Arabidopsis thaliana: one gene and its partners. The protein of the gene in region 3 interacts with the protein of the main gene of each other region in a pairwise test. Each region holds a gene or a part of one and is shown on either strand. Other genes may lie near its edges.

The links.
Region 1: the proteins of MEMB12 (region 3) and AT1G65690 interact in a protein complementation assay, tested with the Arabidopsis thaliana proteins (one large-scale study listed by BioGRID).
Region 2: the proteins of MEMB12 (region 3) and TBL18 interact in a protein complementation assay, tested with the Arabidopsis thaliana proteins (one large-scale study listed by BioGRID).
Region 4: the proteins of MEMB12 (region 3) and AT2G16030 interact in a protein complementation assay, tested with the Arabidopsis thaliana proteins (one large-scale study listed by BioGRID).

What each region holds. Positions count from the first base shown.
Region 1 is NC_003070.9:24,430,290-24,435,999, forward strand, and holds AT1G65690 (Late embryogenesis abundant (LEA) hydroxyproline-rich glycoprotein family), read right to left. Parts: upstream 2,877-5,710; 5' UTR 2,610-2,876; coding exon 2,147-2,609; intron 1,649-2,146; coding exon 1,353-1,648; 3' UTR 1,128-1,352; downstream 1-1,127. Other genes in the region: EXPB6 (beta expansin 6), read left to right, coding at 57-381; LSM8 (Small nuclear ribonucleoprotein family protein), read right to left, coding at 4,174-4,264, 4,356-4,408, 4,488-4,539, 4,821-4,897, 5,241-5,315, 5,409-5,449, 5,545-5,581. UniProt on the Arabidopsis thaliana protein: Plays an important role in the abiotic stresses-induced abscisic acid (ABA) signaling and biosynthesis. Acts as a positive regulator of ABA-mediated seed germination inhibition. Functions downstream of ABF2/AREB1, ABF4/AREB2 and ABF3.
Region 2 is NC_003075.7:12,966,122-12,973,144, reverse strand, and holds TBL18 (TRICHOME BIREFRINGENCE-LIKE 18), read right to left. Parts: upstream 3,587-7,023; 5' UTR 3,394-3,586; exon of another isoform or gene 3,157-3,393; 5' UTR 2,959-3,156; coding exon 2,439-2,958; intron 1,932-2,438; coding exon 1,657-1,931; intron 1,548-1,656; coding exon 741-1,547; 3' UTR 501-740; downstream 1-500. Other genes in the region: AT4G25370 (Double Clp-N motif protein), read right to left, coding at 42-77, 181-398; SHB1 (EXS (ERD1/XPR1/SYG1) family protein), read left to right, coding at 6,697-7,023. UniProt on the Arabidopsis thaliana protein: May act as a bridging protein that binds pectin and other cell wall polysaccharides. Probably involved in maintaining esterification of pectins. May be involved in the specific O-acetylation of cell wall polymers.
Region 3 is NC_003076.8:20,535,861-20,541,401, forward strand, and holds MEMB12 (membrin 12), read right to left. Parts: upstream 3,137-5,541; 5' UTR 2,996-3,136; intron 2,700-2,995; exon of another isoform or gene 2,671-2,699; 5' UTR 2,593-2,670; coding exon 2,366-2,592; intron 2,291-2,365; coding exon 2,020-2,290; intron 1,946-2,019; coding exon 1,784-1,945; 3' UTR 1,566-1,783; downstream 1-1,565. Other genes in the region: UBC33 (ubiquitin-conjugating enzyme 33), read right to left, coding at 132-186, 391-447; AT5G50443 (uncharacterized protein), read left to right, coding at 4,677-4,882, 4,979-5,024. UniProt on the Arabidopsis thaliana protein: Involved in transport of proteins from the cis/medial-Golgi to the trans-Golgi network.
Region 4 is NC_003071.7:6,972,551-6,977,735, reverse strand, and holds AT2G16030 (S-adenosyl-L-methionine-dependent methyltransferases superfamily protein), read left to right. Parts: upstream 1-2,728; 5' UTR 2,729-2,844; coding exon 2,845-3,540; 3' UTR 3,541-4,063; downstream 4,064-5,185. Other genes in the region: AT2G16040 (hAT dimerization domain-containing protein / transposase-like protein), read right to left, coding at 142-983, 1,413-1,719; AT2G16020 (uncharacterized protein), read right to left, coding at 4,150-4,380; AT2G16019 (uncharacterized protein), read right to left, coding at 4,454-4,564; AT2G16018 (uncharacterized protein), read left to right, coding at 4,218-4,619, 5,116-5,157.

The DNA of each region.
Region 1 (5,710 bases), on a different chromosome or scaffold from region 3:
TTCAACTATTTTCTATGATATACGAATCAAAATATTGACTATTGTTTTTTGATCAGCGTGGAATGTTTATATCGAAGAACTAACATAGCTTTCCGTATGGACCCTGGAGCAAATCCGTACTACATTTCATTTGTTGTCGAGTATGAAAACGGTGATGGAGATTTGGCCTATATAGAAATTCAACCAGCCGACGGAGAATTCATCCCCATGCAAGAAATGAGGTCTGCTGTATGGAAGATCAGCTCTGGCAGTCCTCTAACAGGACCATTCAACATCAGACTTACTTCTGCTGAATCTCATAAAGTAGTCCTAGCTTATAATGTTATTCCGGCGAATTGGAAACCTAATGAAACTTACCGTTCAGTTGTGAACTTTAAGTAGAGTTTTCTTTGTCAAATTTGAAATCCGACACATTTCATTGTTTTTCTCTAGTCAAACTACAATATACAAATCTTTTTTTTTTTGGCCAAATAATATACAAAGCTTATGATATAGTAACGAATAATAGAAAGATATATGACTTACCACCAATATGAGCGCATATATTATATTTTTTGCCATTCTCTAAATCTTTTTTCATCAAAAGAAAAATTATCGACATTATGCTCATTCTCTAGCCAGTGTTACAATACCTTTCAAAGGTAGCCTTCCTCCTGAAACTGGTTGTACAACTACAAAGACTTCGGTTTGGTATATAACTTGAACTAGGAATTTGTTTCTTTGTACTTTTGATTCAGGACCTTACTTCATGAGGATAGTTCTCAAATTGTTACAGAGGACTGTCACAAGTTAAGTACATGAATCTTCTTTGTGTAAGTTCTTTTAGCGTTTCTTTTCTACATGTCTCTCTCTTCTCGCAAAAATTCAGTTTGTTCTATATATCTATGTCTCTTTATTATCTCTTTCATGTTGCTTGGAATGTCTTACCATAAGGTTTATTTATTGAGTTTGGTCTTTGCTTTAGAATACCAGAAGTAATTGTTGGAACAAGTAAATCTAATGCAAATTTGAATTCATAACTAAGATCTTGGAGTTACCTCCAATTTAAGTTGTAAGTAGTTAAAACTGAATTTTGGAGTCTACCTTCAACCAATTGTTTGCTTAAAAGAAGGTAAGGTGGAGTGGTGGACATGCTCTGGTTTTAAAAACTTACAACTACTATACTTTGAATTCCACCTATGTACATAGTATTGTATACTTTAATATATTAATTTAAACCAACAGTTTATTATACAACAAAGGTCTGAGACACAATAATGTACTTTAGAGGAGAACTATATATGAGTATGTGACTATATCTGACAAAATTCCCTCTGTATATCTCGATATTAATTATATAAAAAAAAACGGATCTATAACCTAAGACGAAATTTGCAACTACTACTTTGAATCTTAATAACATTATTGGTAGCCAAGCTATCAACAAATACACCACATCTGACCAAGAATCTTACTTCGAAGAGCTTCAACTTCCCAAATTTGACCCGAACCGGTTGGTTTACTCTAATTCTCAATGGTATATTCCCGGTTCTTTGTTGTTGCTCTTCTAATGTCGTCCTTAAACCCGATGCATTTTGTGTTTGACCAGTCATTTCTACGTATATCACTGTCGTATTTTCATGTCCTTGGTAAAATTTTGGCAACGACCCTATTCAAAAAAATCACAAAAGTTCAATGAAGTTAAATCTATAAGAAGACCCGGTTTGAAATGGTGTAAACGAATTATAATCAAACAAGAAAACCAAACAACATAAATAAATATGTTTAGTTTTGGGGTTTTCAGTCCGGATAAACCGGTATGATCCAACTCTACCAAAAACGATTGATTTGAATGAATTAACTCTATTATATCCGAACTATTGAATATGAACCGAACAAAAACTATCTAAACCAAATTTTGTTTGAAACTAAAGATATACAGTATTTGACAATCCTAATCCAAAATGAAAGTAAACCCAAAGCCAACCAAAAAAATTTAGACATCCCTAATTTGAAAAGAGTTTTAAAGTCTTCCTTGTGTACGAACCAAACCAAAGGAAAAGAACAGAAATCAACCAAATAAACCGGTTTTGTAGTGAGATTTTGAAGCCTTCCTACGTTAAAAAACCAAAAGAAAGCAAACCGGAGTAAACCAAAAGTGACGTACCATTGCTTAGTTGATGTTCCATGTACCACACGGTAATCTTGCTCCCATCTTCATAATAAATTCCAATCTTCTCGTTCGGATTCTTAGCGGTTATAGTCACGTTAAAAGCCGTAGTCAAACTCGAGTCTTGGTTCAGTGCAAACCGGGTGAGCTGTAACCGGTCAATAGAGTAATCCGGTAGCTTCGGTTTAAAGACAAGGTATAGTATACCAATGGATGCGCCTACTGCAACGACAAGAAGCAAAAGAAAGCAGAACGTGTAGCAAAAGCATCTGCAACAACAACTTCTTCTCTTCTTTGGAGGAGCCAACGGCACGAACCGTTGTGGCCTTTGGTTCAAAGGGACTTTGGATGGGTCTCCATGTTCTGATCTAGAGGAACCACGAGGAACCAAAGGAGCTGTTGGACGCGCTGTTGCGGCTTCTGGATCTTGGACCGGATAGATTTTTTGGTGTTGAGACATTTTTGGAAAATCTTGATGACACCAAGAAGAAGAAGAAGCTTTGTTTGTAGATCTTATTTAGGGGTTTGGGAAATTAATATAAGTAGGGACCTTATGGAGTTTTTAAAGTCAAGAGGGAAGAACTTTTCAATGGAGAGACTTCTCTATATGAACCTATAGATTATGAAAAACAAGTACATTCGCTTCCATACAACACATCACACGTGTAATGTGAATTTGCGTGTCTGCTTAGGTAGCGGTCTTTTATGGAAATTGAGTTTGATGTGAACCCATCAAATAAAAAAAATAAAAATCATTAGTAGGTATCAAATTACTTGCAATATAGATGGAAAAATTAGGATGACTTTTTGGAAAATACATATATTGTAGTCCTATACATTATCAAACAACTAAAAGTTATATCCACTTAAGATATTTTCCAATTACTATTTGTTTCTTTTTATTTCCTATAATTTTTTCTATTTACTCTTTTGCTCTTTCATGTTTACTCTTCTTGATTTATTTATATTTCATATATAAATGGTACTTAATCTACAAAATAAAATTTCATATATTTACGCCTCGCATTGTCTTTGAGAAAATACAAGTTTTTAATATTTAGATCGCATATAGTTTGACTAATAGGTACATTATAAAGTCAAAATACATTTGATGAAGATCTACTTTACTTTTGTTGACCTAATCCCCTAAGACTTATGCAGCAGTGTTCTCATGCATTTCGTCATGAATTTTTTTTCTTTTACTTTTTTGTTAACATGCTTTATTTTATTATTTTTTTTGCAAATAAAATTCCATTCGAAATCCCTAGGCCCCAACGATGTTAATTTATTTGTAGTGTTTCTGTTTAATATTAATCGTTATCAACGAAAAATTTTTAGAACGCAATTCTTTTGTTCTTCATATTAATAACCAAAAATCAAAAGCTTCTGATAACACTTACTATGAAAAATTTCAAGAAATAAATCACTTAATATGAAGAATATTACATTGGAATCGTAAAAGAAGACCCAAGACTCCGATGAAATCAGAAGTGTTTGGTTTTGGCGAGTTATTACCAAAACCAACGACTTGTATGATGCGACTATGGGAGAATGACATATTAAGTTAATATCTATATTGTTGTCTTATAGAAAATGTATGATGCTTCTAAGTTTTAAATACGGCCATTTGTTGATGTTGATAGATTTGATGATGTATATAATCCTTCTAGATGAAATTGCAACGACATTATAATTTGTAAGATACCAGAAACTAATTCCTCTTTTTTTTTTCTTTTGCAATTTGAATATCTATAAAATTTTGGTTAACAATAAAAGTTTTTTTTCTAATCAAAGAATTTGTGGTCTAGTAGCAAACCTAGGTCCGTCCAAAAGATTGTATGATTTAAGTTTCCGACCAAAACGTTTAAGACATAAAATATCATATAGCTTTTGTCCTTAGGATACACAAATAAGACAACTCCAGACATCAAAACAAACTATCCAAATTGTTTACAATCAAATCTTCTCTTTGTTTTTAGGCTTTGAATGAGAGAATTAGATTTTCTCACCATAACTATATTCAATCAATGCACTACGGGTTTCAACGGATGGGCTCTCAGCTTCGAAAAATCCAGACTAGCATCAAGCTCCTCGTCCAGCTCCCCGATAACACCTCTGATCAAAGATGACACCATTTTTTTTATTGAAACAAAAAAACAATTGCAATGTTAGAAAATCACTGATGATGATGGATGATAAGAATTACATGTTGTCCCCTCTGATGATGTACAAACCCAACACATGTTGTTGTACTCCTTCCTGCAAAGATGAAGACATAGTAAGAGGTCTCAATCCTAATTCCAATATCCATCATTTTAACAGAACTCTGCCTTCACACCAAAAATATCCAAGAACATTTGTCTAATGAAGTATCAACATGACCTGACATACTCTTAGTGTAAACAAGAAAACAGACATGAATCAAACCTTTAACCCTCTTACGAAAAAAAGGAGGTGATCATGTATAATTAATTACACACTGCCAATATCTACGTATTTGACTTACCTATCACTAGCTAAATCTTTTGACATATGAACTCACAAGATTTTTTCAATCAGTTATAACACTCGAAGAATACTAACACTAAATCTGTTTCGGTGTATCCAACACTATCTGATTTAGATACTTCCATTCAGAGGCCAGTTAGTTCATGATTCACTATTCTCTTACCAAACAAAGAACTGTAGGACAAGGCCTATCTTAAATATCTGAGTAAGTTTCCTCAATATTCTGTTGAAAAGATGACACTACGCAACTAAATCAAGCAATGTACATTATTAGCAAGAACGTAGTACCAATTAAAAGATCAATACCAGACGACGAAAGATGCTTTGAGTGACAATGAACAAAAGATAAACTAGCATCCTTATAGTACCTCTATTTTTCTAGTTTTATGCGATCACTACAAACAAAATATGGAGACATCGAGAACTCTGCTACATCATAGCCACTCATGGATACAAACCAACAAGGTTTTGCAGGTCATACACTGGCCAATTTACTTGCAGAAAAATGTATTTGCACCCATTCAATTTAGTAACATCGAAAAGTTCAGATGAAAATACTTTAAAACAGGAATCAGAAGCTAACCTTTGTGGAAAACACACGTTCATGAGATTCATCAAGGATTATATTTGTAGCCTGGTCAAAACCTTTAAGAACTCCCTGAAAAAATATAAAAATCGATCTCTTTACTAAGATACTTGCATTGACATAAGGAGTTCTAAACCAGATATCACACAAGAGAGTATAACATACCACAATGTTGCGTCCGTCATTTGTAATCACCGAAATAATCTCTGCAGCAACCAATCAAAAGATAAGATCTTTAGACAATTCATGTGACAGAACATCACATATCAATCGAGAATGGCAAAAAAAAAGACTAACTTACGATCGACGAGAGTCTCAAGTCCAGTAGTTGCCGCCATGTTACAGTTCGGAAATTATTTGAACTGAAAGGTTACTAAAAATTAGACTAGGAATTTCATCGAACACTTGGTGTGCTTACGGATAACAATGAAAAATTAATAGATTTCGTATCCATCTCAACGAGAGAT
Region 2 (7,023 bases), on a different chromosome or scaffold from region 3:
TACAATTACAAATTCTATACGTAATTTGGAGTGAGACTCACTTTGGGATCTTATCCGAAGAACCATTCTCCGGTTGCCTGAAAAATTCAACCTTAACACCCTAAGCTTCAATATCCGTGGTGAAAGGAAAAACCCAGAAATGATAAAGATGTAAAAGAGCTGTCAGATAAAAAAACTAACGCAATAGGGACGTTTAAGACCGTGCTGGCCGAGGTCAAGCACCGGAGCTTGGGGACGAAGCAGCGATGCGACGGTTGTGTCGCCAGAAGCTTCTTACCTAACAGAGAAGACGTTAGAGGAATCCGAGAAGAAGACGAGGGAGATCCATTCTGTCTCGAAACAAAGATCCGAGGATTAGAGAGCGTCAAAGGGATAAAGGAGACTGTGTACGACGCCATTTTCACTCTTGAGGAATCAAAAGCTTTTGGTCGGGCTTTGGGTGAGTCAGTGAGATAGGCGATTATTACTCAGCTATTTTGCAAATGCGCCCCCCCCAGTTTATATAATTTATGAAATTTCGACTAGTATGAATAAACTTGAACTCATAACTCCCAAATCTTAAATTTCAATCTCAGGACAAACGAACCAACAAGTATAGTGGAACAAATTCTAATCCTAACTCACCGTGCCTAGCACAAATCTACAAGTGAGTTTATCTTTGAGTTTATCAGTAACCAAGAATCAGATTAATAGTATAAGTCGTGTAATATGCTCTCTCATCCTTTGAGTTTCAAACCAAGTCAAGTTGATGAGCTTTTCCTGTCTCTCCTTATGAGCTCCAAGACCATTTCGTTCCATGTATCGACTGGTCCTGGCATGCACCAGTGCAAGCAGTCCTGAGGTGGAGGCCGTCCGTCTGGTCCCCGTTTAGTGATCTTGTTAGGGTCAGGACTTCTGAATGGACCAGGATGACCATCATGGCGATATCCAAATGCCTCTGTGATATCCATCAGCTTTAGTTTTAGCTTCAAATTCTCCGCGACTTTATCGACGGCTTGGTTATATCCTGTCGCTTGCTTCTCATGCATTATCTCTGTGAATCCGTTTTTCACTAGCTTCCCTGGAAGGATGGGTTCTTCTTTCCCCGTGCATGATCCACCTGTGTTCCAAGCACCACCTTCGTAATGATCAGGTGAGAATGTTCTCACAATGGTCAAACCGCTGTAGTTCGGGTGTGTAGCCATGGACTTAAGGATTGTTTCAACTGATATTCCAAATGCATCCACGTTATTGACTTTCATGGGTTTTGATTTGTCTGGCCACCATAATTGGCCTCCCACGATCTCTTCTTTCAATATGTAGACAGACTGCTTTGCAAACCAGTGCCCTGATGAGAGGACAACCACGTCGAATTTCGGGATAGCTTCCATTATGCGCTCATCAGGAAGATCCAGCTTTAGTTTTGTGACACCTTCAGGAGCATAATCGAATTTTTCGTTGAACTGATGAACAAGCCAAGATGACCAAATACGGGCAATCATTACTGATGATTGCTTAAAATACCATCTCTGCATCTTTCGGCTCCCACGATTGACTGGTGTTTCAACCTGAAAACAGAAACCTACTTTAATATAATACATACGATCTCCTGAAGCTGAATAAAGCAACACAATAGATCCCTTATACCGGTTTTCACCATTAAATTGAATTACTTGCCTGCCAAAGAAGGCACAACATGGACTCCATCTGATTACGAGCTACTGAATCTCCTATAAAGGCCAGTGTCTTGCCTTTCATAAGTTCAAGAAATTTTCTGGCATCAAACCGAGGAAGCTCACACTGAGACGGTTTCCATCTCCAGTTCTCATATCCCTTGTCAGGTCTTCCATTTCCCTGGCAATTCTGCATCTGCGTCAGGACAGGGCAAGAGTTGTTCGTGTAGAGAGGTCCCCCAGGATCATAAAACCAACTACCTTGATACAAATCACACTCTACAAGCAATCAAAGATTTGAGTAAGCGACAAACTCATAACAGAAATATAAAACATCGAACAGCTAGAATCATGAGAAGCAAGGGAAACTGACAAGAACAGATCTATGAAACTGCTCTTCTTATTCCAATTCACCAAAACAGGTAGAACTCTCAACCAAATGCCCACAAAGCCTAGAAACTCTAACCCCTAAAACAAAATGCTGAGACCACCTTACAAGCCCAGCACTCACTATCTGCTCCCTAACCAAGTTTTTACTCTAATCTGCTATATTCAGTCCTCGGCTAGAATAATTACAGTAGGTCTATAGCTAAGAGTTTAGCCGCTGAATTTCTTTAAAACTTCTCAGAAACTTACGCCTTTCCATAGAAATGCAAAACTAAATGTTCTATAACATTCCCACACTAGCTTAGTCTTTGTTTATTGAAATTTAAGCTACCATAACTCAAAATGTTCCAAATACGACAAAAGCTACGGAAATAAGCGTTTAAAAGATAACAACAGTACCTGGTTCTGCTGAAGCAGTTTCAGAGACATCATCTGGAGGAGATGATGCACTTGGAGTGTCTTCAGCCTTGGAAACATTGGTTTCACGTTCACCTGATTGAACATCAGTCTTTTCAGTTATATCCGAAGAAACCAAATCCTCTTTTTCTTGTGTCAAAGGTGTCTCCAACTTCCTATCACTACTGAAATCTGGAGGTGGTATACTTTTGCTAACAACAACAGGTAAGCCAGAGCTAGAATCAGAAGTCAGATTTTTATCAAACGCATTGATGTCACTACTCTTCTGAAGGATATTGACAGTATGGTTGCTCAAAGATAAAGGGACATGAACTTGTTCAGGATTCCCTATCCCATAAAATATGCCACCAACTGAAGAACTATTCGGATACGAAAGACGAAGCAACAATCCGAAAACAAAGAATGATGCCAAACCACCAATAGCAATTGCAACTGTAGACACTTTCCGAGGAAATCCAGCCGCAGCTAATATAGAATTATTCCTAGGAGAACCAAAAGCCATGGTTTCTTCACTAGTAGATACCCAGAACCAATACAAGCAACAAGAACCAGAGCTTATAGGTGATAATTCAATATCAACATTATTCAAAATGTTATCTTCAGGGGCATGCAATACGCAAGTGAACTAAGTGAATCTGTTACTTGATTCAATCTTCCACTGGATCACAGATAAGATTTCACCTTCTTCAGGATCTGGAATCTGGAAGAGCAACACTATGAGCAAACATACTTAAAGGCGAAAGAAGAAAACAAGATGATCGATCTAATAAATCATCAAATAGCACAAATCCAGAATATAAATGTGAATCTAACTCAGATTCAGCTCAAATCATTACGTATTCAGATTTTCAGAAAAAAAACAAACAATTTTTCAGAAGATTATCTTCTTCACTAAGCAGATCCAAACGAAGAAGAAGAAGAAAGAGAATCTACGAACCTAGAGAAAATGATCCTTGTTGTCTTCTTGTAGGTGAAGCGAGCTCAGAAGATTCAGAAGAAATCCACAACAGTGAAGACGCGAAATCAAAAAATTAAACAAAGGTTAGTTATAGTTTTATTAGTTAATTGTTTTCCGGAAATAATCAAACGAATTTAGTGGTAATTTATTCCTTAAATTAATCATTTGTTTCTTCTTCCGGAGCCCATTAATGCCGTCTGTGATCTCATCGGCGCGTATACGACCACGCGATGATGTAAAGTTACGAAACTACCCTTCGGTCAACACCACCATAACATTGCGTATATTTCGAATTTTGTAACATTGCTAATATTTCGAATTGTTTGTTTGTCACTTCGCGTTATATGACACAACGATTGTTGTTTTCACATAAAAAAAAAAACCCTACTAGTCATCATCTAATGTAACACTCCAGCATATGACAAAATCGCCGAAATATTATTTATTATTATATAGGTAAAATAGAATTACAATATGCTCTTCTATAGTATATAGTAATCTAAAAAGTTGCATCATAAAATAAATTATTAGAAAAAGATCGAAAATAGGTGATATATCATATCATCATTACAATAGGTGTGAGTCGTCCGTCGCCTCTGACTGGTCCTTCCTTTCGGGCACGATAGCAGGCATAAGCCACTATCAGTGCGATGATGATTAATACACCGACTGAAATTCCAGAAATTGCGATAAACTTCATTGGATCAGTCCCCATGTTTGTTTTACCACACGCACCCAGAAAAAAGTTTATTTCTACTGTTTTTATTTTTTGTCATGTCTTCTTGTGACACAGTATGTTTACATTTATTTACAATTATTTACATTTCTGTTAATAAAGTCCGTGAAATTTGTAAGTTTTACATTTTATTATTTAAGAAAATTAACAAGGATGAACTGGAAAATTACACTTTAAAGAATATTAATTAGGAAGAAATAGAAATTATACATTTTTATGGTACTTTGTTGATCTTCATACCATCAAACTGGAAATTGTACATTTTAATAGAAAATTAACTATGAAAGAATAGAAAATTTACATACGTGAGCATGTAGTAATTTAAGGCTATCACAAAAATTCGACATTTTATTTCAGAATATTCTAAAATTTTGATATTTAGGTAGCACATTATCAAATATTGTAAAATAAAATAATGGCCAGGCTTATACGATTTGAGATTTGATTCGTATCCATGAATGCCATACTCGATGAGTAGTTACTGTTGTGTGTGTATTATAGTTTTTGCTAGTTAATGTTGTTTTTACTCCTACCGCATAAAATGAAATAATGAATCATCTATATATACATTTTTGCAGCCATTTTGTGAAATAAATCTTAGAGTTGGGACTTATTTACTAGGCTGCCATTGAGTATTAATTATTGATTTTTTTCCAGCAATAAATTGATTAATAAACTAAAAATATTCCAAATATATTCAGCAACTATTTAAAACAAAAAATGTTTGACAAACAAAAATATAATTGCAATCCCTTAAAATGAGCAAAACCCACCTAAATATATTCTTTATCTATCCAATAAATCTTTTTTCTCCAAAATTTGAACTAGATTTTGGCAACTATTTTAAACAAATATTTGTTTGACAAACCAAAATACAATTGCAATCCCGTAAAATATTTCTTTTAATTATATATTTAAATTAGCGGTGTACCGCGGTTTTTTTTTACGGGGCGGATTTGGCGAGACGGGTTTGGTAAGACGTTATTTAATAACAATTGTAAACTATAAAATAAAAATAAATAGATTTAATTTGCAAACTTTTATATATACTAATTTAAAAAATAAGTTGTCCGCGGGTTAAAATCTAGTCATGGTTATTTTAATTAGGTGAAATCAGCCTTGGATAATTTTAAAAACTAAAACCAATTGTTTGTAAGTAAAGAATTAATAAATTAGTGTAATTTCTAAGTTTTCAAATTATTATATAAATAAAATAAATAAATATGTATTTATAAGCACAAAAAAAGGAAATGGTGCGTATTCCTGGTACAATAGTTACTTGTCAGATCCCCATTTAAAACATCTCAAATTGGTTGAAAAAAAGTCACCAAAGAAAAACTAGATTAGCATCAAATGTTTTTAAAACTTTTAATTCTTCCATAACTCTTTCTAAGAAATAATTTAAAGAGTTAAATCAAATAATTCAAAAGTCGGTTGCTATTTATTAGCGTTAAGTATACGTACTTGTTTTCTTATTTTTCTACGTACTTGTTTTCTTTATGGACAACCGATATGTAGTTTGTAAAATTTGTTTGCTAAAAATGAAAAAAATTGGTCCGTAGAATATACAATGCCCAAATGACTCGCTTCTGAGCTGATGCAATACCAGTTGATGATACATTGTGGTCACTACACAGTGTAGAAGATACCAATTTGTTTTGTCAACGAAATGTAGAAGATACGGGTTTTGCATTGAATAAAAGACATTACACATTAGGTGGCGACAAAACAGAGAAGCTCAAAAGATAAAAGTGTAGAAGATACCAGTTTTTTTTGTCAACCGATGTAGAAGATACGATTTACGCGTATAGAGCCACCACCAAGGCATTGACCAAAACCTAATCATCTCAAGTGGGAACGTACGTTGATATATGTCATATAATAATTTAATAAGCACATTGACATGACATGTATTGATTGACTACAGATTTAATAAGCACATTGACATTTCACATGTCACATGCAGGGTTGATTATAAAAATATCTAGGATCCTAATCCATACCGAAAACAGGCCATAAATTTTATTGAACTATAATCAAACTTCTAGTTATATCAATAATTTATTGGCAATGGAAAATTACTCGATAGATGTAACATGCGTTTTGCACAAAAACGATGTAACATGCGTTGCTAACGTTACTTTTGCTTTAATTTCATAGTTTTTAAATTTTAATTTACAACTTATAAACCTTAATTAAGAATGATATATAACAAAACGATATCTTATAACAATTTCATATTTTTGTTAGTAATTTTTTAAGAGTTTTGACTTTTGATTGTCTGTTTTTTTTTTTGGGTATTTTTTTTTTATTGTTTAAAATTGTGGACGAAAACGAATTCATATTTTTGTTGGCTAAGTTAAGACTCAAGACCTGGTCTACCTCTCTAGAAAAACTTTCAGCATCACTCAAAACCCAAAAGTCAAAAAGTCACATTCTTCTTTCCAACTTTTGTTCCAAAGACAGAGAGAGGCCAAGATTCATAATTTGAGATTCTGACTGTAGACTTCGAGCAAGAAAAAAAAAGATCTGAAGGTTGAAGAATCATGAGGTTTGGGAAAGAGTTTGTGTCTCAGATGATCCCAGAATGGCAAGAAGCTTATATAGATTACGCTTACCTCAAAACCATTCTTCAAGACATCCAAGCTTCCCGGAATAGGTCAGATTCCAATAACCAGAGCAGTACTCCTTCCTTCGCACGTAACCTAACCAGACGGTACAACCGCGACGCCTTGGTCTCTGAGAATCACGACATTGTGGTCAACACTGTGACACGGCTCGAAGAAGGGCTCGAGACGGCGGCTTACGAGACTACGTTTTTAAAGGCCGGAGAAGCAGGTGGCGACTTTGAGGTTACCTTTTTTAGAACCCTA
Region 3 (5,541 bases):
TAGTATCTCTGTCACCATAGCAACACGCTATATGTACCTAAAGCCAGTATCCCCATAGCCAAACCTTCAATAGAATAACTAGAAAGCAGAAAATAAAGAAAAGGAACATTAAATAGCCAGATAAGACTTACGCCATTCAAGAATGTCATTTGGGGAAGGACGAGCAACAACATGCGAGACTGGTTCCTAGCAATCCAGAACAGAACATGTCAAAGATACTTCCAAAGTAACATTCATAAGAAAAAAACTTATCCTAGACCAAAAACCATGAAAACTAGCATAGAGCAAAGAAACCACATTTGATAAAAAAAAAAATGAAAATCGAATGGGTAGAATGATACCAGTGACAGACAAATCAAGGATGGGAACAGAATAAGAAGAAAATAATACCTTGCAAAGCGCTCTGTATTCTTTTTGAAGACGCTTTATACAAGCTTTTTCTGCCATCTAAATGCTTCAGGGAGTTCCAATAAACTGTAGTTCCTGTCAACCAAAACAACGAATTGTAAACTGTAGAAAATATAATCCAACCTTTAAGTATGAAATGAATGACAGTAACATAAACCAAATTAAGGTCATCTTCGATAAAGAAACCATCCTGCTTAAGTCATACATCTGGAAAACTGACATGAACAAGCATGTATAATCTACTCCATGACATTGCCGTATAGTTAAGCTATTACTACAATCTCAAGTCACATATAGAGAAGCAACACTTCTTAAAGTATCTGTTCTAAATACAAATTGACAAATTGATACACACACACAAAAAAAGATCACCGTTCAACAAAATTGCCTAAACCCATGAAATTGTGATGAAAACAAAAAAAAAAACTTAAAATTCCAATTAAACAAAACAAACATACACACAAATATTTTGCAATCAGATAAAATTCCAAAACATATCAAAGAATATTCCCTAAAGATCCCTATTGATTTTGAGTCAATCAAGTTAATGAAATCTAAGAAAATCAGAAGAAAGAAAGAAAATAATCGGCGTACCAGTTTGATCAAAGTTTCGTTATTGGATGACCAAGTATAAATCAAAAACACAGGGAAGTGAAATCGTGACAAGGTAAGAGCAGATCCAAGGAAAGAATTGTGAAAATCGGAATCGATCAGGAGCTGGAGCTAATTTGAGATTCTCTTTCTCCGTGTGTGTTTCTCGTTGATTGATGATCAAATCATTCGTTTCTCATATTTCGACGCGGTACAGAGACAAGGAGAGAGGAAAGAGAGAGTGTCGAAATATCAAAAGGAGATTGGTTTTCCTTTAACCGGATCAAAATTATTCCAGTTGAGTCGGTTCTGTATTTAATTATAATTATCCTATCCCGGTTCGGTATTTGTCATAATCAGACCTTTGGGGAATTGACTATTTTGGTCAAAAAAAAACATTGACCATTAATACAATGATGCTAAAGTCAACTGTTTCGAATCACTTTAAATATGAACTGTCTTGAAGCTCATGTTAGTCGCCGAAGCAATGACCCAAACAAATGTAGTAGCTTCTGTGTTAAACAACGATTGCAGTCTCGGAGAAGTTTTGAACAAGTTCTCTTACACTGCGAGCAATACATCATTCTCGGATATAGGAGGAACACATCAAAAGTTGGGGAAGAAAAGTTGGCATAAATCGAGAGCATACTAGACGCAAATGAAATGGAGAATATGTGTACTAGTGTTTTGAAAATGTCTTGTAAGAGGTATAAACAAAACAAAAAAACGTGTTACAAAACTCTCTCCATACAATCTATGGTAATGTAATTAAAGTTCTCTGGTTCTAGCGTGTCCATCTTATGAAGAGATACAATATGACAAGCGTTGCGATCATACCCGCATATTTAATCCAGGTATCAACACGATTACGCCTCTCAATGAGCCTCAATACAGAGTTAGAGAGCCCAACAGTGTTCAGAACATCCAAAGCCTTCCTCTGCGCACTCTGAGAATTCAAAAACCCAATGTTAAAAAACTGTTTTCTTCATTGACTTAAAGCTTAAGTTAGGGTTTGGTTACCTTCAAACGATCCCTTTGTTCAGCATATTTAGAGAGAATAGCAACTCCACTTTGAAACGAATCTTCAAGCATTCTCTTTGAATTCTTAACAGAGTTCATTCCTTGAGCCTCCTCATCAAATATTTGCAAAATGTGAGCTCCTTCTCCACTCCCTCTACCTAACAAATCCGCTCTCTCTTTAGCTTCCAACATCTTCCTCTGATTCCTCCACATGTACTTCTCTAGACTTTGGTTCAAATACTCAGCCTCTTCTCCTACTTGTTCACTCTTCCTACAGCAAAAAAAATCCAAATGCTCAAGAGTTTAACCACTACTTCAGCTATTTTGATGATCTAAACTTCCTCACCTTCTCCAAAGATCACGCTGGGATTTGACAGGGATCGAACGCCAGAGACCGTCCATATTGGAACAAAGAGATTGAACCTCGGTAATGTCTCGTTTCACGGAGGAGGCGAGGTCGGTAGGATCAGAGTCGAACCTCTCCAACTTCTCGATTCCATTCCGAGCTCTTAGTAGAATCCTTTTTGCACTACTATATACCTCAGACAACCCTCCCACTGTCCCAGACGCCATTATACAAACCACAAAGTGACCAAGAACACCGCAGAATCTTCTTCTCTTTGCTGAATTATATCAATATCAACTTCTAATCTGGAACATATATACAAAAACATATTTAAACCAGTTTACTCAAGAATTAATAGTAATCTACATGACATTGACCTATAATTTGGCTCTTAAGTAAAACTTGAATCAAAAGTTAAGCACCTTTCAACAAGATTTGCATAAAACTTAAAATCTAATCCAGACAAATCACTCGATCACGAACCAGCAATTCGATCAAAATCCTAGAAATTATGTTAAGAAAACATCTAATCGGCAATTCATTTGATTCGATCGACTGAAACCAAGAAATTCAACAAAATCGCATTGAGAGAAATCTAAGAAAAGCTTTAGAAAAAATTTATCCGTGTACCAGTTCAATGGAGGCTTGCTTGGGTTTGGAATTTGAATTTGTTACACAAAGCAATTCGTGACCAGATCCGAGGAAAGTTTGTGAAAATCGGATGAGAAATTCTGCGAGGGATTAAAAAAGAATAGCAAGGAGTTGGTTTACTTAAACCGGGAACAAATCCCAATTAAGCAGACGCGCTTGGCTGGTTCTGTTTACAATTCGGTTTTGTAAACAAACACAAGAAATGTAACAAATTAATCAAAGAAAAAAAATGTTCTAAAAATCACGATATTTTTTTTGTTTCTAGTAATCACAATGGTTTCTCCCTTTTCATAAATGGCAAATCTCCCATAAAACCATCTTTTGTATTTTCTATTTTTTCATGGTTATTTTCCTTTATAAAAAAAAAGGGATATCATATGTACATTGTATGGTTTTTAGTATTCTCATAAAATAAAATGTCTTTTGAATTTAAAAGAAAAGAAAAACACTAAATATGAGTTCAGATTTATGAGCTAATTCTAAAAACACTAAAAAATCCGGCCGGTAATTTGAGTTCAAAAACACTAAAAACACTAAATATGAGCTCAGAAAAGAAAAACAATTCGACCGGTAATTTGAACAAAAATAAATAAATCCGAACGATAAAAAATTAAGGAATTGCTAATTAGCCTCTACGGGATCATTGGGGGATTGACACTATCATGGTCAAAGATTGATCAAACAAGCTGTCCATATAATGGTTTGATTAACATAGTTATTACTCCAGCAAGATTTAGCTTAAATACGATTTTTAGGTGTGTATATTTTAAAGTTCTTTTGTTTACATCATAACGTTCTCATAAAAAGTGGATATAAAAAAAAAAGTATATATATATATATATATATATATATATATAAGTTTCACTTTTTCAAAATTGTGCCAGTTGTAAAAGAAACGCAGCCCATGCTAATGAAAAAGTTCCAAGGTATAGTAGTAGTAGCTTCACCTAAAACAATTTGACAAAGATATATTCTTTTTATTATTTATTAGTTTCCGATTTTAATGCAAATAATTATTGAAAATTTGTATTAGTTTACATTGTTAAAAATATGTTTGATTAGAAGAAGATCTTAAATTTTATAAAACTTTCTCTAGTACGTAAAACTCAAACTCTCAAATATATGAAAATTTTGTTTTGCAATTTTCCCATGCAAGTGACTCAAGTCCCAAATATTTGACTGTCTTCTTCTCGCTCGTCCAGTCGTCCCTATAAAGCTTGTTAGGAAAACAAAAATAAAAATGAATGAAAATAATGTTGATGCCTTAGCAATTAGCATAGAGACAAAACACAGCCTGTTAATGTTTTACCTGCAACTTTTGAGATCTCATGAAGTTGGATTTACTAATATTGGTAAACACATAAATAAACGTGTATACATGTGCTTGTATGAAAGTGAGGACACTCTCAACATCAGTGAATGTTCCATAAATTAGTTGATTAAGATAAAAAAAATATCTCAGCATCTGAAATAAATGATTCGGAGAAGAAAAATTAATTCACGTGATCAGATCTCAAAAAAAGTCGCAGGACAATACATACATATCTTACAAAGCCAACAAGCTTTACAAGTTGTCTTTCTCTATCTCCTTCTCTTTAAGACTTTAACTCATCATATTTCTACCTAAAAGTTTTCTCAAGACCTAAAAGAGAATTCACAAATGAAGAGATTCCATCCATCAAGATCGATCTCAATAGCTCTGTTTCTGGTTTTGTTAGCTTTCTTTAGCAGCAAGTTTCACATAGAGGGACATAGAGATTTGAGAGATTTGCAAATAAGCAAAGAGATGAAGCAGAAGTCTCTTGGAGGTGAAGGAGATAGCTTACGGAAAATCCCGAGGAGTCGCTATAGCCCCATACAGAACAAGTAAGTACACGATCAAATATTTTCCAATCTTTTCACACACAAAAAAAACTAAATTATTTGAGATTTTGACATCAAGATTGTGTATTTTTGTACCAGGAGAGGTCCAAGTAGGAAACATCAGATCACATCACATGAACCATAGATTTCATCTCTAGTTTTTTATTTAGATCTTCTGATTTTTTGTATTTTTTTTTTGTTGTAGAATAGTATTGCCTACACTTGTTTGTGAATGCAGCAATGTAGAGTTTGATACTGTTACTATTCTTAGAATGTTTTTTTCTTTTCTTACTGGAAAGTCTTACTCTGATACTGTTCTATTGAGTCAAGGCTCTTTGTTTAGACCTCTAAGGAGTGTTTATTGGATTTTGTAGATTTTGCAACATCTTGAAGCTTATATTTGTATTTATTACTTGACTTTGTATCTGTTGTTTCACCGCATTTGTTCTTCCTCTGTTTTGTTCGATTTTCATCATGTATCTGCTCGTCTTGATTTCAACTGATCAGATTCTGTTGTCATAACAACAACAAAGAAATGGTATTGTAGGGTTTCAAATGAATGAAGTTAATAACATATATATCACCTCTCACAAAATGCCCTCGATGTAAAAAGAAACATGCACAAGAAAACTTGAGAAATTTCTTGAAGGATCAAACTAAAT
Region 4 (5,185 bases), on a different chromosome or scaffold from region 3:
ATTGAACATAAAAATTGTTAACAAGAAAAAAAATAAATAGAAATCTCAGTTTTCTTCCTGGCGAAACATAATCCTCCTAGCTTTCGCTCCTGCAAATTCATTCATCAATTTTTGGTAATCGAGCTTCTCAACCAGTTCTTGTTATACAGATATCAGCGCCAAACCATTCAATCGCTCTTGAGACATAGTCGAACGTAGATATTTTTTTATGAGCTTTAATTTTGAAAAAGTTCTCTCCGCCAAAGCAACTGAAACCGGAATGGTGAGTAGTATACGATAAGCGATCCATGTGTTTGGATAACAGCTATCCATTATTTTCAAAAATTTCAACACTTCGACCGGCTTTGTAATCTCTTTTGGCAACACATCTTTTAAAAGTTTCAGCTCCATAAACAGATCTTCTCCATCAACATCTGAATGCACATCATGCTTCAAAGAAGCTTCAAGCTTCATACACGATGTCCTTAACTCATCATCTTCTGCTACCTTCAATCTCTTTACACCAAACAAAAATCCAAATATTTGTTCATATACTTGGAATTGCTCGAATCTTATCTCAATACACATTATAGCTTGATCCATTATATTGATGAAGTAATCAATTCTAAAACTCTCCTCTGCAATCTTACTTTCATCAATCTTCTCAACATCCTCAACAAATTGCTTTTTTTTTTTCACCGACTTTTTTGGAAATACCGGCGCAATCTTCATCTCAATGGCAATTTGTGTAGATTCAACTTTGGCTTTCTCGAAACCTGTTTCTTTGTAGTTTTTCAAATAAGTAACAAGCCCTCCTAACTGAGAAATAGCAACCTCAAGATCCATATCCTCAAACTGTAAGGATTTGCTTACTATATTCACAGCAGCTAGCAAATCGTACCAAATTATCATTCCAAATAAAAATTCAAACCCTCCAATTCCATGTGTTTCACTCTCTGTAAGAGACTCAACATCACTCCGGTGTCCTGGATTATCAGTGTATTCTGCCAAATAAAAAAGTGCATCTTGTATCTGTATCTTTGAAGCTTAATATCTTATTGGTTTAAGACTATCAATGCGGCTTTCCCAACGCGTTTGAGACAACGGTTTAAGTGTAATACCATTCACTGTTTCTCTAAACACTTCCCAATTGTTGGTTGAAGCTTCAAACAGACAATGTATTCGCTGAACAATTCCAAAAAAAGAAACAGCTTTCTTGGATGATGAAGCCATATCACAAAGTGCAAGGTTAAGACCATGGCATCCACATGGAGTGTAAAATGCTCTTGGATTTATATCAAGCAACCTTTTCTGAACTCCTTTATGTTTTCTCTTCATATTTTGTCAGTTGTCGTATGCTTGTCATCTTACATCATCAATATTCAACTTAAGATCAATCAATGCATCTTGAAGAGTCTTAAAAAGCCCCTCACCCCTCTTATCTTTGATGTGTAGAAACGTCAAGAAGAACTCCTCAATCTTAGGTGAACACGTTGAAACATCCACACATCGAATTAAGAAGGTCATTTGTTCTTTACGACTAACATCCGGAATGGAATCAAGAATGACTGAAAAATACTTCGCATCTTTAATCTTCTTTAAGATCATCATCTTGGTATCATTAGCAAGTAATTCTGTCAATTCATTCTGACTCTTATGACTGGGAAAATGGCAATGAATTTCACCTTTATTAGCCCGCCGAATGTGTTCCTTCATATCCGAATTAAAACCTCCAATCATTCTAATAAATGCCAAAATATTTCCACTATTTGGATCATCAACATTCTCTTTAGTTCCACAAAATGCTAAATTTTGTTTAGCTAGAGTCTTTACCACTGCAATTATTCTCACCAATACATCTCTCCAATGTTTTTTCTCCTTCTTAATTGCCTATTCCATATGGTTATCAATTGTTTTACTCTTTTGTAATCTCACTTCTAGCTCCATCCAATGAGTCATGGAAATAATATGACGATGAGTTGTTTCATGTCTTTTCAGCCTTTGCGCAGCATTTTTCCAGTCATTATACCCACTACTTGCTAACAATGTAGGATTTGTTTCTTGATCGAATAATTAGAGAGAAATTCGATCCGCTGATTTTTGAGGAATATTTGAATTTTGATTCTAAAAATAAGTGAATTCGAGTTTTGGTGACAAAGCAGCGCATTTGTTAGCTGATTGTATTTTGATTATTGATGCTATATAGACATAGATTTGTGCGAAAATTGAGGAACAAGAGAGAAATTTGATCCGCTAATTTTTGAGGAAGATTTGAATTTCGATTCTAAAAATAGATGGATTAGATCTGCAGCGTTTGTTAGTTGAATGTGTTTCGATTATTGATGCTAAATATACATAGATTTGTGCCAAAATGAGGAATTAGAGAGAAATTCGATCCGCTAATTTTTGAGGAATATTTGAATTTTGTTTTTAAAAATAGATGGATTCGAGTTTTGGTAACAATCGGCGGTGTTTGTTAGTTGATTGTGTTTTAATTATTGATGCTAAATAGACATAGATTTGTGTAAAAATTGAGGAACTGAGAGAAATTTGATTTGCTAATTTTTGAGGAATATTTGAATTTTAATTCCAAAAATAGATGGATTCGAGTTTTGATAACAATTCGCAGCGTTTGTTAGTTGACCATGTTTCGATTAATTATACTAAATCGACATAGATTTGTGGAAAATTGAGGAAATAGAGAGAAATTCGATCCGCTAATCTTATATGAATATTTGAATTTCGTTCCAAAAATAGATTATTTAGAGTTTTGGTAACAATCAACGGCGTTTGTTAGGTGATTGTGTTTTTATTATTGATGTTATATAAACATAGATATTTTGATCGGAGTTTTGATCGGCGACGATGGAGAGAAACGTCGAGAAGATGCTGAAGAGAGTATCAATAGTGTTCTTAAGCATCGGAACAGTATTAATGGTAATTATGATTCTCCAGACACCAAAAACTTGTATTTCTCCAGAAGCTCCATCGAAACCTCATACGCATTTCCCGAGATCTACATGCGATTCATCGCCTCGTCAGCATCTTCCTCTCCCAAAGAAGAACGCTCGAATCTGGTCCTCTGGAGCTTGGAAATCTCGTCTATACTCCTTCTCTACCTACTTCCTCCGATTTCGCGATCTCGGATTCATTCAAAATCACACCAAAGCTCTCTGTCTCTCCGCCGGAGCAGGCCATGCTCTGATGGCTCTTTCTCAGATCGGATTATCTGATGTTACCGCAGTTGAATTGGTTGATTCGATTCCTCTTGTGAAAAGAGCTGATCCTCATAACCTTCCGTTTTTCGACGGTGTCTTTGATTTTGCCTTCACTGCACATCTAGCTGAAGCTCTGTTTCCGTGGCAGTTTGTGGAGGAGATGGAGAGGACGGTGAGACGTGGCGGATTTTGTGTGGTTTCGGTTGATGAATGTGGTGGAGATGATGTAAGAGACATTGCTAGGCTTTTTCATAACTCCAAGGTCGTTGATGTTGCTAATGTAACCTTAGAAGGATCCAAAAAGACTAGTATACTATTCAAAGTTCAAGACTCTCCTACCTGAGGTGTTTTATTTCTCTTTTGATTTATAGGCCCTTTCCGGATTCTCAGAAAACTGCTTCAATATTCATAGAGTGGAGCTAGATTTGTTTCTGTTGAAATTCACTTACATGTTTGAAAAGCAGGAGATTTAACAGATTATGTGGTAACATTGTTCAAAGACCATGACCATATTTGTTCTGGATCCTAAAGCAATGTTTTGTTGAGGGAAGCTGCGATGTTTGTTGCGAGTTCAAGATCCAGAACAAAAGCTTTCTACAGGTTAATATCTTTTTTTTTGGAAGTTGGTCTCTGAGCTAAACAATTCTTAGGAACCTTGGTCGCTTTTGAAACAAGTAAAGAACTTTCAACAGCTTTTGAAGACTTTAGTGTGTGATGAAAGAAAGTACTTTCTTTCCAGGTGAGGTTCACGTTTCAATCTGTTAGAGCTCTCCTGTGTACTATTTGTGAGTTAAGTAAAATACTCTTTAGTCATTTTGTATACTTAGAAAGAACAAAATTCTTATTGGTGAATAAAAGGCTCTTACTAAAAAAAAAAAAAAAAAAAAAAAAAAATTTTCTCTCAAGCAAGATAACCAAGGTAGCCGCAAGCCTTGTTCGTGATTAGTTCTCTTCACCGGCGTTGCTCCTCTGACTGCCTGCGTTCCTGATTGTAGCTACTACTAAAGTGAGATCTCTCCAATGAATCTACTTTTCCGGTGGCGTAATTGTTTTCCGGCGAGTCTTTCACTTGAAATGACTTTCCTTTTTCTCTCGAATGCGAGCCACTCTCGTCGCTTACCGTCGTCTTCGGTCGCCTTCCTCCTTCTGAGGCCACCTTGTGCACCACCACCAGAGCCTCCATCTCCGCCGACTCCACCGGAACCACCGGATCCACCAGATTCTCAGATCTGCTTCACTTTTGCTGATTCTTATGCTCAGTCGTTGAGCTCCTCTTCCCTCCCAGATTTGGTCTCGCTCATTCTCCATATCTCCTCCGCCATATCTGAATCTCCGTCACCGACCTCTTCGATCACTGATTTTTTCATTGATGTTTTCCTTCTCGCCGACGACACCACTTTTCTTCCTCAGTATTTCCCTCAGGTTTGCTCTTACTCTTCGCCGTATGTTTCTTCTAAGATTGGAAGGGTTTGGTTGTTGATAGAGTTTGTGGCTCTGGTTTTGTGGAATTTGGGTTTGTGTAATTCATATGTAGCTTATCTAGTTTCGATTGGCTTGGATACTTTTGTGCTCTCTTGTAGCACCTCTATCGCTTTGATGCGATCACTTACCACAATATGTGGATGTCTTAATTCGCCTTTGTTAAAAGTTGTCTCATCGCAGCTTAGACAGAATGTTTTGGATACTTTTGTGCTCTCTTGTAATACCTCTATCGCTTTAATGCGATCTTTTACTGCAGTATGCGGATTCTATCTCGATTTGTTTTTGTTAAAAGTTGTCTCTTCGCAGCTTAGACGGAGGGCTTTGATTTCAGACAACCTACCAGTTTTTCTGGTTCATTGGGGATTTCATAGCCCTCATCTCTCCTTTATGGAGCTTTTTATCCTCTCAAATACTTCACTTGTGTTTAGTGATAAAGTTACAGGGAGCATTGTGTGCAATACTGATCTGCTTGAAGTAGAAGCGAGGATTGTTGTTCAAGACTGTTC